Linked DNA regions of Callithrix jacchus. The protein of the gene in region 3 interacts with the protein of the main gene of each other region in a pairwise test. Links are inferred from orthologs where the notes say so. Each region holds a gene or a part of one and is shown on either strand. Other genes may lie near its edges.

Region 1 (3,749 bases), on a different chromosome or scaffold from region 3:
TGACAGAGCGAGACTCTCTCAAAAAAAAAAAAAAAAAAAAAAAAAAAGAATATCACCTCTTCTCCATTCTCCGTAGGGCAGCCCTTATCTGATCAAGGTCCTGGGAATCCTAGCCACAGTCCAGGCTCCTGAGCAGGCCTTGGCAGCCCTTCCATAGCTCGACACCCACGTCTGCCCCCTGCCGGGCTATGCTGGGCTCAGGGGCCATTCCGACAGAAGAGGAAGCCCCACTTCAGCTCCCGCCAGTGCCCCGGGTGAATGAACGACATGAAGCGTTAGGCTGGACACACGTCATCTCTGCACACATCGCACAGCGCCCTCTGTCCGCGCTCACTGGCGTGCTCGCTGGCTTGCCCGGGCCCCTTCGAAGGCTGCTTGCTCCTGGAGTGCCGGCGGCCTCCTGGCCCAGTGCCCCATTTCCTCCCGGGTGGAGCGAGGTAGGAGAAAAGGAAGGAGGGAGGCGGTGGGAAGCAGCGAGCATATGTGCACGGGCGACAGCCCTGCAGACTGGGAAGGTGGGCCCGTGGCAGGGGGTCTGCGAGGACCGCGTAGGCGCGGGCCTTGCCCCACAGCCGCTTCCCAGGTGATGCGCACACAAAGCTCCCTCAGTAGTGCCTAGCCCGGGGCCGGCGCTCCCTTAGGGTTCAGACCCTTCCCGCCGCTGCTGGGGCGGCCGACCCGGATGCGGCCGGGGAATCCTACGCCCTGGGGCCACGGGAAAGGGGACCAGGGCGTAGAGAAGGGATGTGCTGGGACGGTGGGGAGCCCAAGTGACTTAGGGACCAGAGCCACCGCTAGCGCCCACTTAGGCCGCTCTCACTTCCCGGCCGGCAGATGCCGGGTGTTAGACACACAGGCCCCGCCCCTCTCTACCGACTGGCTCACGCACGCCTCAAGGTGACGTCTAGGCTCCCAGCCGCACCGCCCAGACTCCCGTGCGGGCCCCACCCCCAACAGCTCCGGGCGTTAGTGACGTACGGACTCGCGACCCCGCTCGCTCCCACCGCGACACCTTCTGCTCCGCTCCCGCGCGGGCCCCGCCCCCTCCATCGCTAGCCAATCCGTGTGTTTGTGACGTTGGGCTTGCGGCCCCGCCCACTCCCACCGCGAGACTGATTCCCACTGTCCTGACTCTCGGCGCGGGCCCCGCCCCGTCCGCCGCTAGCCAATCCGTGCGTTTATGACGTTTGGACTCACTGCCCCAGCCTCCCAGCTCCCAAGGCCCGGCCGTTCTGCGCCTGCTGCTCCCGCCGTTAAGCCCCTCCCCGCACAGCGCGCGCAGCCTGCGGAGCCCGAGGCCGTGACGAGACAGTGATTTGGCTGTGACGCGAGCGCGATCGCTCCCGAGGCGCTCGTGCCGCCCCCGCCGTGATCCTCGGCAGCCGCTGCTCGGCGGGTTTTGGCAGGGGCCCGGCTTCCGCCCGCGCCCGCACCCGCCATGGACGACTACGCGGGTCTTTCGGATACCGAGCTGGCCGCCGTGCTGCGCCAGTACAACATACCTCACGGGCCAGTTGTCGGTACGCGGCGGCGGGCAGGACCTGCCCCCGGGCCCCCTCCCCGCGCTCTGCCCCGCGCCCTCCCCGCCACCCTACCCGCGCGCCTTCCCCGGCTTGTGGCCCTGACCGCCTCGTGTCCGGCCAGGGTCTACTCGTAAGCTTTACGAGAAGAAGATCTTCGAGTACGAGACCCAGAGGCGGCGGCTCTCGCCCCCCAGCTCGTCCGCCGCCTCCTTCTCCTATCGCTTCTCTGGTGAGAGCCTCGCTTGTGGGGACCGGGCCTGGGATGCGGGGAGATCGGGGTCGCGAGGGTGTGGCAGGGGCGCCGGTCGAGAGCGGCACCGGGGAGAGGGGAGGGAAGCCTGGGGGGCAAACAGTTCTGTCGCCTCCCTTCAATCCAGACTTGAATTCGCCGTCAGTGGATTCAGATATGTATGATCTTCCCAAGAAAGAGGACGCCTTACTCTACCAGAGCAAGGGTAAGGCAGGGGTGGGGTGGGCACGCTGGCACGTTCACCTGACTGCGTCAGGGACCCCGCTCACAGGGAGGACCTGAGACCTCAGCCCCAACCACTCCAGCAGCCTTAGGAGGGAGAAACTGTCACAGGTCCCGAAAGAGATTCAGATTAGGGCCAGCAGGCCAGGTGGGGCACACCGATGCCCCCTCTGCTACCGCTGCCCCCCTTCCCAAGGCTACAATGACGACTACTATGAAGAGAGCTACTTAACTACCAGGACTTATGGGGAGCCCGACTCTGCGGGCCAGTCCAGGGGCTTCCGCCAGTCTGCGACTTCACTCCCAGATGCTGACACTTTCCACCACCAGGTGAGCTGGCTGGCAGGTGCCCTGTACTTGAGTACAATCTAGGGGATGGCGGCTGTGTTTGGATAAATCCAGGGGGCCACTGGATACAAATGGTGGCTTCTGTGCTTCTGGGGAGACTGGCTCAGCAGACGCCTGTTTGGCCAGGTCCCTACTTTGGGGAGCCATCAGAACTGTGACTAGAGCACCCTGGTCTGCAATCTAGGCTCAAGCTTTTCCTGAGACTCCTGGGGGCAAAAGGGAATAGCAGGGCATGAGCACAAGTGACAAGACCCCACAAACAAAAGACTGAACACCAAGAGCCATTCGGGAGGGTGTGGGTCCCTGGCCTCTAACCAAAGGTCAGAGGGCACCAGCTGGGGAAGTTTGGACTGAGGGATGTGGCAGGGCCATGGTGGCCCTGCCAGTCGGTCCACTCACCCTGACTCTCTTCTGCAGGTGCGTGATGACAATCTTTTGTCTTCTGAAGAGGAGTGCAAGGATAGGTACGTAGAGGGCAGGCCCAGGAACAGGGACTGGTTCTGCACCCAGGCTCCTGGCCCACCTGCTCCCCTCTTTTGCCTCAGGGAACGTCCCATGTACGGCCGGGACAGTGCCTACCAGAGCATCGCGCACTACCGCCCTGTTTCAGCCTCCAGGAGCTCCCTGGGCCTATCCTATTATCCTACCTCCTCCTCCACCTCTTCTGTGTCCTCATCTTCATCTTCCCCTTCATGGCTTACCCGCCGAGCCATCCGGCCAGAAAAGCATGCTCCTGGGGCTGGGCTTGGCCATGATCGCCAGGTCCCGCTCTGGGGCCAGCTGCTGCTTTTCCTGGTCTTTGCGATCTTCCTCTTCTTTGTTTACTACTTCATGCAGGCGGAGGAAGGCAACCCCTTCTGGAGGGAGCCCTGAGGGTCTGGGCTTCAGAGCCAGCTCTTCTGGGGAAGTCCTGGCTGATGGCCTTAGCAGTGAGGGTGGGGGTGGGGGTGGGGGTGGGGGCTTTTGTGTGTGTTCTCGCTTGGGGGGCGCTGGCCCAGCCCAGAGTAGTGCTTGCTCCCCTGCCTTGTCCCACCAGGGAGGCAGCAGACTCAAGCCCTCCATGATCTGGGGGACCTGGGTGTGCTTTCCTCTCTAGCCTCCTGGCCCTGCTTGCCTGTAACCCTTAGGGTCCAGGAGGGCAAGGCCTCGCTCCATCAGAGAACATGGTTATTGTTGTTGTCATGCATGCCTCCTTTTAGTTGTCATCTTGAGGGGATTAACCAAAGGCCACCATGACTTTGTTTTCGTGGACACACAATAAAAACCCCATTTATTTTTAATGTGTTGACTCTTCCTGGAGGAGAGGGTTGGGTTCCCATGGCAAGGGCATCTGGCCTTGCTGGGTCTGCATTTTGGCTTTGGTCTGGGGATAGGAATCAATTGCTACCCAGAAATGTTTGTGTTTT
Region 2 (3,749 bases), on a different chromosome or scaffold from region 3:
TGATACTTTATCCAGTTTTCCTTAGTTTTTACCTAATGTTCTTTTTTAAATTGCAGTGTCACAGCCAGGATACCATATTACATTGTCATGTCTCCTTAGGCTCCTCCTGGCTCTGAGTTTCTCAGACTTTCCTTGCTTTTGCTGACCTTAACCATTTTGATGAATACTGATCATGCACTCTGCAGAATGTCCCTCAATTCAGGTTTGTCTGATTTTTCTTTTCTTTTCTTTTTTTTTGAGATGGAGTTTCGTTCTTGTTACCCAGGCTGGAGTGCAATGGCACGATCTCGCTCACCGCAACCTCCACCTCCTGCGTTCAGGCAATTCTCCTGCCTCAGCCTCCTGAGTAGCTGGGATTACAGCCACGTGCCACCATGCCCAGCTAATTTTTTGTATTTTTAGTAGAGACGGGGTTTCACCATGTTGACCAGGATGGTCTCGATCTCTTGACCTCGTGATCCACCCGCCTCGGCCTCCCAAAGTGCTGGGATTACAGGTGTGAGCCACCACGCCTGGCCTGATTTTTCTTTTCTTATAATTAGACTGGGGTTATGAGATATGGAAGGACACTATCATAAAGTGCCATTCTCATTACATATCATTCCACATACTATCAACATGATTTAGCACGTACTCTTGGTCACCTGGCTGAATTACTGTTTGCCAGGTATCCACTGTAAAATTACTCACTTTCCCCTTTTCATATGTTGTACTTTTGGGAAAGAAGTCAATATGCAGAGCCCACATTTAAGGAGGTGGAATTTATGCTCCAGGATGGTGTGTCTGCATACTTTGAGATTCTTCTGTGGGGGATTTGTTTCTTCTCCAATCTTTAATTCATTCAGTCGTTTATTTATATCGGTATGGATTCACGAATATTTCTTTTATACTTTGAGTTATAATCCAGTATCACTTGCTCAAGGCAGTTTGTAATGTTCTGAGTAACTCAGTGCAAAACAACCCCCCCAAAGGTTGTACCAGCTCACAGGGCAGATGTCATTAAGATCCATTTCCCCTCAACTTCGCACACCCTTTATAAAGGTCAGAAAGCAAGGGGGAAGCTGACAACCCTCCCTAGCGTCAATTTCTGGACGCCCCTAAGGAAGATGAGGCCAGCCTGCTGGAGTAGTTCCCAACACGGGCACCTCAGCCCCTGAGGCGCCCTTTCCCGGCCAGCCCCTATTCACCATCCTTCCTTGGTCCCTGCCCCATCTCCCGGCTTCCTGCAGCCCCGCCCACCTCAGGGCGGAAGTGGGTGTGGCCACGGGCGGAAGCACTGGGTCGGGGGCCCGCTCTTGCAGCCAGCCCCACCCACTCGCCGCCGCCCCACCCCTCCGGCCCAGAACGGAAATGAGGTCAGAGAGGGAAACCCCGGCGGTGAGAATCGGCCCAAAAAGCGGCGGCCGTTCGAGGTGGCTGCGGCAGCTGGTGAGGGGGTGGAGTGGGTTGAGAGTGTTGGGGTCCTGAGGGCTAGGGCCATAGGGGATCGGATCGCCAAGCAGCGGCTGAGCGGCTAAGGGCGTCTTGGGGCTGCGGCAGCCGGCCGGAGGGTGAGGGTGGTGGGGCCTTGCTTTTTCAGGGCCCATGTCCCTATCCCTGGGGGTGTGGGTCGGACAGTCTCCGGGGCCACAGCCCCCTTTTCCCCTTTCTTTCTGCCTCTTTGGGGCTGGCGGCAGCATGAGGGCTTGGGAAACGGGCCATGGTCGCTCCAGCCCTCAGGGACGGGCCGGGGCGTGGTGGAGAGTCCTTCGAAAACAGTTTTTCTCACATACGTGGCCATGTTGCGACCCCCGATCCCGGAGGGAGCTCAGTCGCTACGACTTCCATTTTGGCAGTTTCTGCTCTAGAATAGCCGAACCCCGTCCTTGGTGAGCCCAAATGAGAAGTTGTCTCCTGCCTCTCGCATCTCCTACTCCGCCCCTCACTTCCACCCTGCTCCTGCCTCTCTTCTTACTTGCTGTCCGCAACTACCAGTTCCTTCCTGTGCGTGACTCAGCCTCATCTCTACCCGGGTGCATGCCTGGTCGCCGAGTCCTCTCGAGAGTGTGCACTCGACTGGAGATGGAAGCCCTAGGGACCTTCTGTCACCTACTGTTCGAGTTGCAGGCTTTGATGCAGGAAAGGATTCTGCACAGGCATTCGACTACTGACTTCGTTCCCTGTTCAAGTTTGTGCTGTTCTGAGGTTTTTGTTTGTACTTTTGTTTTTGTATTTTTGTCGCCTGAGTTTTTAAAGCAGTAATTCTTTATTAGGGAAGTGGATTTAGGCATGCTGTTCCCACTTGTTTCTCTATTTTGGTCTTAGGGACAGTTGTCTCCCAAACCTCAATCATGGCATTTTTAACCAGCTCCCCCCCCCCCATTTTTTTTCTCCTCTTTTCACAGGTGTTGATAAATCACTTCTTATTGCTTAAAAGAACTTGGCCTTTTAAAAGTGTATGTGCCTTTGGACAGTTTGAGAAGCTTTGTTTGTATGGCAGTTTTGGAAGTAGGTGTCACCATTGCTCCTAAAGGTGTGGCAGATAAGCCAGAGGACTGTTTTCCTGCCTTTAAATTCATTGACGTAGGCACGGCATGAAAATAGTATTTAGAAAACGCTTTGCAAAGTGAAAACTGAATGAATGGAAATATGGTCAGAGTGGCACCACATAGAGTTTTAAGCTCTAGTTTTGATCTTGAAATACTTTGGGCACAGGGGCAACGAAAAAAGTGCTAAAAATTTAATATGTATTTAATTAGGTGCTGTACAAATTATATTAAACATTTCCCCTTAAGAGGGAATTTTGAAGATTGCTCCTACTGCTCTCGTTTCTTGAAATGTTTGCCTCTGAAGTGACTCCTGAAGTGTGATGTTTGGTTTGAGGATGGATAGAAAAATAAGAAATTTTGGAAAGCAGTTCGGCCAGAAATCTTAGAAACTTCAACTTATCCCTGTCATTTCAGCTGCTGTCGTATCATTTTTTTCCAGTGATTGTGTGGCACTGAAGCACATAAGTAGGATGAACATTTATTTTCTGAAGGATAGGAAAGGGGCTTAAAAATTGTTAATTACTCAGAAATATATGACATACTATATGAGGTTCTATACCTGGTAGCTTTCAGGTGGTAGTTGCTACCAGAATGGGTGCAAACTTAGTCTATTCTCCTTTCTGACTTCAAACCTGGGCACCACAATTTCTTGGATCACAAAAACTGCAGTCTTCTTTAAAGGGTGTCACTAAGTTGTCTTTCTGCCATGGCCATGGAAGGCAGTGACCCCAGGCCAAAGAGCAGTTTTTTATTCATTCTTAATACTCGTTGAGACTGTGTCCTGCTCTGTGTTTCCACAGCTCTGCTGTGATTTTGAAGTTGTGTGTTTTTCTACTCCTGTCTAATGACAATCTCTAATCTTTCTGGATCTCATCATTAGGTAATTCAGTGACACGTTTAATTGGGGAAAGAGAGACGGGTCTAGTTCCCCAAATTTGTTTTGGGTCCTGTCCCAGTTGTCATCTGGTGAGCAGGTTTTTGTGCTTAAGGATATGTTGACTTCAGTCATTTAACAAGGGACAGAACACCTATTTTTAGTGACTTAAGGAAGTGGTAGGAACAGAATCTAAGTGTAGCCAGATGAAAGGTTACTTACTTTGTTTAGGCAGGCGGAACTATGGACTACTATGATCTGTTTTATCAAATTATTCCAAAACAACAGATCCTTTCAGGCTCTCTTTTTCTTTTTCTTTTTTTCCCCTCTGAACTTCCTTTTGGGAG
Region 3 (3,649 bases):
AAAGTGAGACCAAGAAAAATCCGAAGTAGTGAAATATCTCAGTTTAAACATTTCATTGTGAAAGCATACTGATGAAGCATTGTGATTTGAAGATCAGTGCTATAATTATGTCTTTGGAAATTTAATATATTTTTCTTCACTTTCTCCATAGCACTATTTACAGAAATTGAGATTATTTCTAAAATGAAAATAGAGAATATTCAAAATATTTCTAATGTAGAAGAATAAAACAGAACTATCCCTAGCAGATATAAAGGCTTATTATAAAATTATAATTAATAAGATAATGTGGTTTTATCATAACTATAGAAAAATTTTTCAAGAAACAAAACAGAATACAGCAATAAAGCTATGAATATATGGAAACTTGATTAATGAACAGATGAAACAGTGGTCACTGGGAAAAAAAAGGTGAGTTACTTAATAAATGGACCTGGGACAATGTGTTATCCATTTAAAATAAAGTCAGTTAAGCCTATTCTTCAGACTATATACTAAAATCAGTACTTCATGGATTAACTACTGCAATATGAAAGGCAAATGTATTTTCTTTTTGAGATAGGATCTCACTGTGTTGCCCAGGCTGGAGTGCAGTGTTATAACCACCACTCATGGCAACCTCAACCTCCTGGGCTCAAGCAATCCTCCCACCTCAGCCTCCCAAATAGCTGGGACTACAGGCACTGTGCCATCCCACCCAGCTAATTTTATTCTATTTTATTTATTTATTTGTAGACACAGGGTTCCACTGTGTTGGAAAAGGCAACCTTTAAAACTCTTACAAGACACAATAGAATATCTTAGTGGTCTCAAAAAAGAGATTTTTTTTTTTAAAAGGAAACACAAAAATACTAGTCATAAAAGAAACAACAGATAAATTTAAACGTATTAACATTAAGAGTTTCTGATTATCAAAAATACTCTAAGAAAAGGAAGAACAGCATTCATTAAACAAAGATAGATAGTGGCAGCCATGTAACTGCAGTCTCCAGGGAAGTTCGCATCATATGCCTATCAGAACATAAATGCAAGAATGTCTATGGCAGCATTACATACAGGAAAAAAAAGAATTCAAATATTCATGCACAGTAGAATGGAAAAATGGTGCTATATTGACAGAATTTGGAATATTATACAGTGATAAAAAATGAATAAGTACAGTCTCTTGAATCAACATAGATGTGGCAAAAAGCCTACACTTCAGAACATTCTGTTTTGATAAACCTAACAAACAAATAAAATTAAAGAATATATTTGTAATGTCACGTGTTATGAAAAAAGTTTGTTTTCTTTTTAAAGAAAGACTTGGAGATGATACCCAAAACTCAGGCTTGTGGTACTTTTAGGTGGTATAGACAGAGAAATACATTGTAAAAGAACACTTAGCTTACTAGAAGCTATAATCATGAGAAATGCAATGTGAAAGAAACAGATTTCCTCCTAAAAAAAGATGGAATAATTCCAGTAATATTCTAGTTCAGATAATAGACCTTTAATGTCTGTTGGTTGTTTTTGATATATATATATATAAATGCATTAGGCAAATTCAACAAAGCTTTTAAAAGGAAAATACATGTACAAAGCTGATATGAATGATGTAGTGTATAATCTCGGTGTTAGCATTTAACAATGTTGAGAATTTTATTACTGTGACCATATTTTAAGAAATCATTAGATCAAATATTTGCAAAGAAACATAAAAGAATTAAGGCAGAAAAGAAGACTAGTTCAAAAGAAGATAGGCTCGGTGTGAGGTGGAAATGGTCAAATAAAGTTTTGTGAAAACAGCAGTAGTTTCTTTTTGTTTTTTTTTTTTTGAACTTTTTTTAAATTATTATACTTTAAGTTCTGGGATACATGTAAAGAACATGCAGGTTTGTTACATAGGTATACACTTGCCATGGTGGTTAACTGCACCCATCTACCTGTCATCTAAATTAGGTATTTCTCCTAATGCCATCCCTCCCCTAGCCCCCCAACCCCCCACAGGCCCAATGTGTGATATTCCCCTCCCTGTGTCCTTGTGTTCTCATTGTTTGTCATCCACTTATGAGTGAGAACATTGGCTGGATAAAGAAAATGTGGCACATATACACCATGGAATACTATGCAGCATAAAAAAGGATGAGTTCATGTCCTTTGCAGGGACATGGATGAAGCTGAAAACCCTTATTCTCCACAAACTAACACAGAAACAGAAAACCAAGCAGCAGTAGTTTCTAATCATAGAGAATGGCCTTTCGGATACAGCTTAATCAGTAGCTCCAGGAGCATGTTTTATATTGGTTTAGGAAATGACAGCTAGACATCAAATCAAAGAACTTAGGAGTGAGGAGGCTTTGACCAAGACCAATATTATGCTAGCTCAATTCACGGAACCTCTATATAGACCCAAGTACTTTGAGTGACCTAAGTTTTTGTCTATTTCCATATTTTATATTGTGTGCTGTACAATACAAAATATAGTAGTTTGCACCTTTTGAAAGTTGAAAAATTATTGGCTGTGCATGGTGGCTCTCTTGTGTAATCCCAGCACTTTTGAAGGCTCAGGTGGGTGGATCACAAGGTCAGGAGATCAAGACCATCCTGGCCAACATGGTGAAACCCTTGCACTACTTAAAAAATTAAAAAAAATAGCCGGGTGTGGCAGTACATGCCGATAGTCCCAGCTACTTGGGAGGCTGAGGCAGGAGAATCGCTTGTACCTGGGATGTTGCAGTGAGCTGAGTTCATGCCACTGTTCCTCAGCCTGGGCAACACAGCAAGACTCTGTCTCCAAAAAAAACACTATCATGAACATGCAACCTGATTTAATTCAATGTGGATTTGTTTTTTTATTCACTCCTTCATGGTGTCTTTTTATGAGCTTTTGAAGAACTACTTTTCACTGATGACACTAAGGAGAATCAAAGTCATTTTAATTATTTTTTGTTTTGTTTGTTCCCTTTCTTTGCTGAAGGTGAAAGTCTGGTTCCAAAACAGGCGGATGAAGTGGAAGAGGGTGAAGGGTGGACAGCAAGGAGCTGCGGCTCGGGAAAAGGAACTGGTGAATGTGAAAAAGGGAACACTTCTTCCATCAGAGTTGTCTGGAATTGGCGCAGCCACCCTCCAGCAAACAGGGGACTCTCTAGCAAATGAAGACAGTCATGACAGTGACCACAGCTCAGAGCATGCGCACTTATGATACATACACAGAGGACCAACTCCATTCTCAGGAAAGAAATGTTGTGATGGCAAGCCTTACCCAAACATCGTTTACACAGAGAGATGACTATGGCAGTGATGTTTAATATTATTAAATCCAGGCATCTCGAATCTGTTTTCCATGATTTATAGAGGGTTTACACTAAGTGCCGCTTATTAAAAAGCTTCCACAGTGAAGATGGAGAAGGTGAACTTGCTTTGAATATTCCAGATGTGTTTGGTCGTGTGTATGGCAGTGAGCAGGTATGTGTTTGCTTTTGCTTGCACTGAAAATTAAATTGCTATCAAGACCAAACTATGAAACCTTTTTATTCAAGATGCCTCCAGAGTGAAGATACCGAAGATGAACTTGCATTGAACATTCCAGATGTGTGAGGTCATGTGTGTTACAGTGGGCAGGTATTTGCTTTTGCTTGCACTGAAAATTAAATTGCTATCAAGAATA

The links.
Region 1: the proteins of MEOX2 (region 3) and EMD interact in binary tests that used the Homo sapiens proteins (3 or more experiments, as listed by UniProt). The two-hybrid records come from large-scale screens. The link is inferred for Callithrix jacchus from reciprocal best matches to the Homo sapiens genes MEOX2 and EMD.
Region 2: the proteins of MEOX2 (region 3) and GPATCH2L interact in binary tests that used the Homo sapiens proteins (3 or more experiments, as listed by UniProt). The two-hybrid records come from large-scale screens. The link is inferred for Callithrix jacchus from reciprocal best matches to the Homo sapiens genes MEOX2 and GPATCH2L.

The regions. Positions count from the first base shown.
Region 1 is NC_133524.1:150,171,789-150,175,537, forward strand, and holds EMD (emerin), read left to right. Parts: upstream 1-1,305; 5' UTR 1,306-1,438; coding exon 1,439-1,520; intron 1,521-1,644; coding exon 1,645-1,752; intron 1,753-1,900; coding exon 1,901-1,978; intron 1,979-2,191; coding exon 2,192-2,325; intron 2,326-2,760; coding exon 2,761-2,807; intron 2,808-2,888; coding exon 2,889-3,216; 3' UTR 3,217-3,623; downstream 3,624-3,749. UniProt on the Homo sapiens protein: Stabilizes and promotes the formation of a nuclear actin cortical network. Stimulates actin polymerization in vitro by binding and stabilizing the pointed end of growing filaments. Inhibits beta-catenin activity by preventing its accumulation in the nucleus.
Region 2 is NC_133509.1:111,081,123-111,084,871, forward strand, and holds the start of GPATCH2L (G patch domain-containing protein 2-like), read left to right. Parts: upstream 1-1,358; 5' UTR 1,359-1,428; intron 1,429-3,749.
Region 3 is NC_133512.1:42,863,381-42,867,029, forward strand, and holds part of MEOX2 (homeobox protein MOX-2), read left to right. Parts: intron 1-2,959; coding exon 2,960-3,184; 3' UTR 3,185-3,649. UniProt on the Homo sapiens protein: Mesodermal transcription factor that plays a key role in somitogenesis and somitogenesis and limb muscle differentiation. Required during limb development for normal appendicular muscle formation and for the normal regulation of myogenic genes.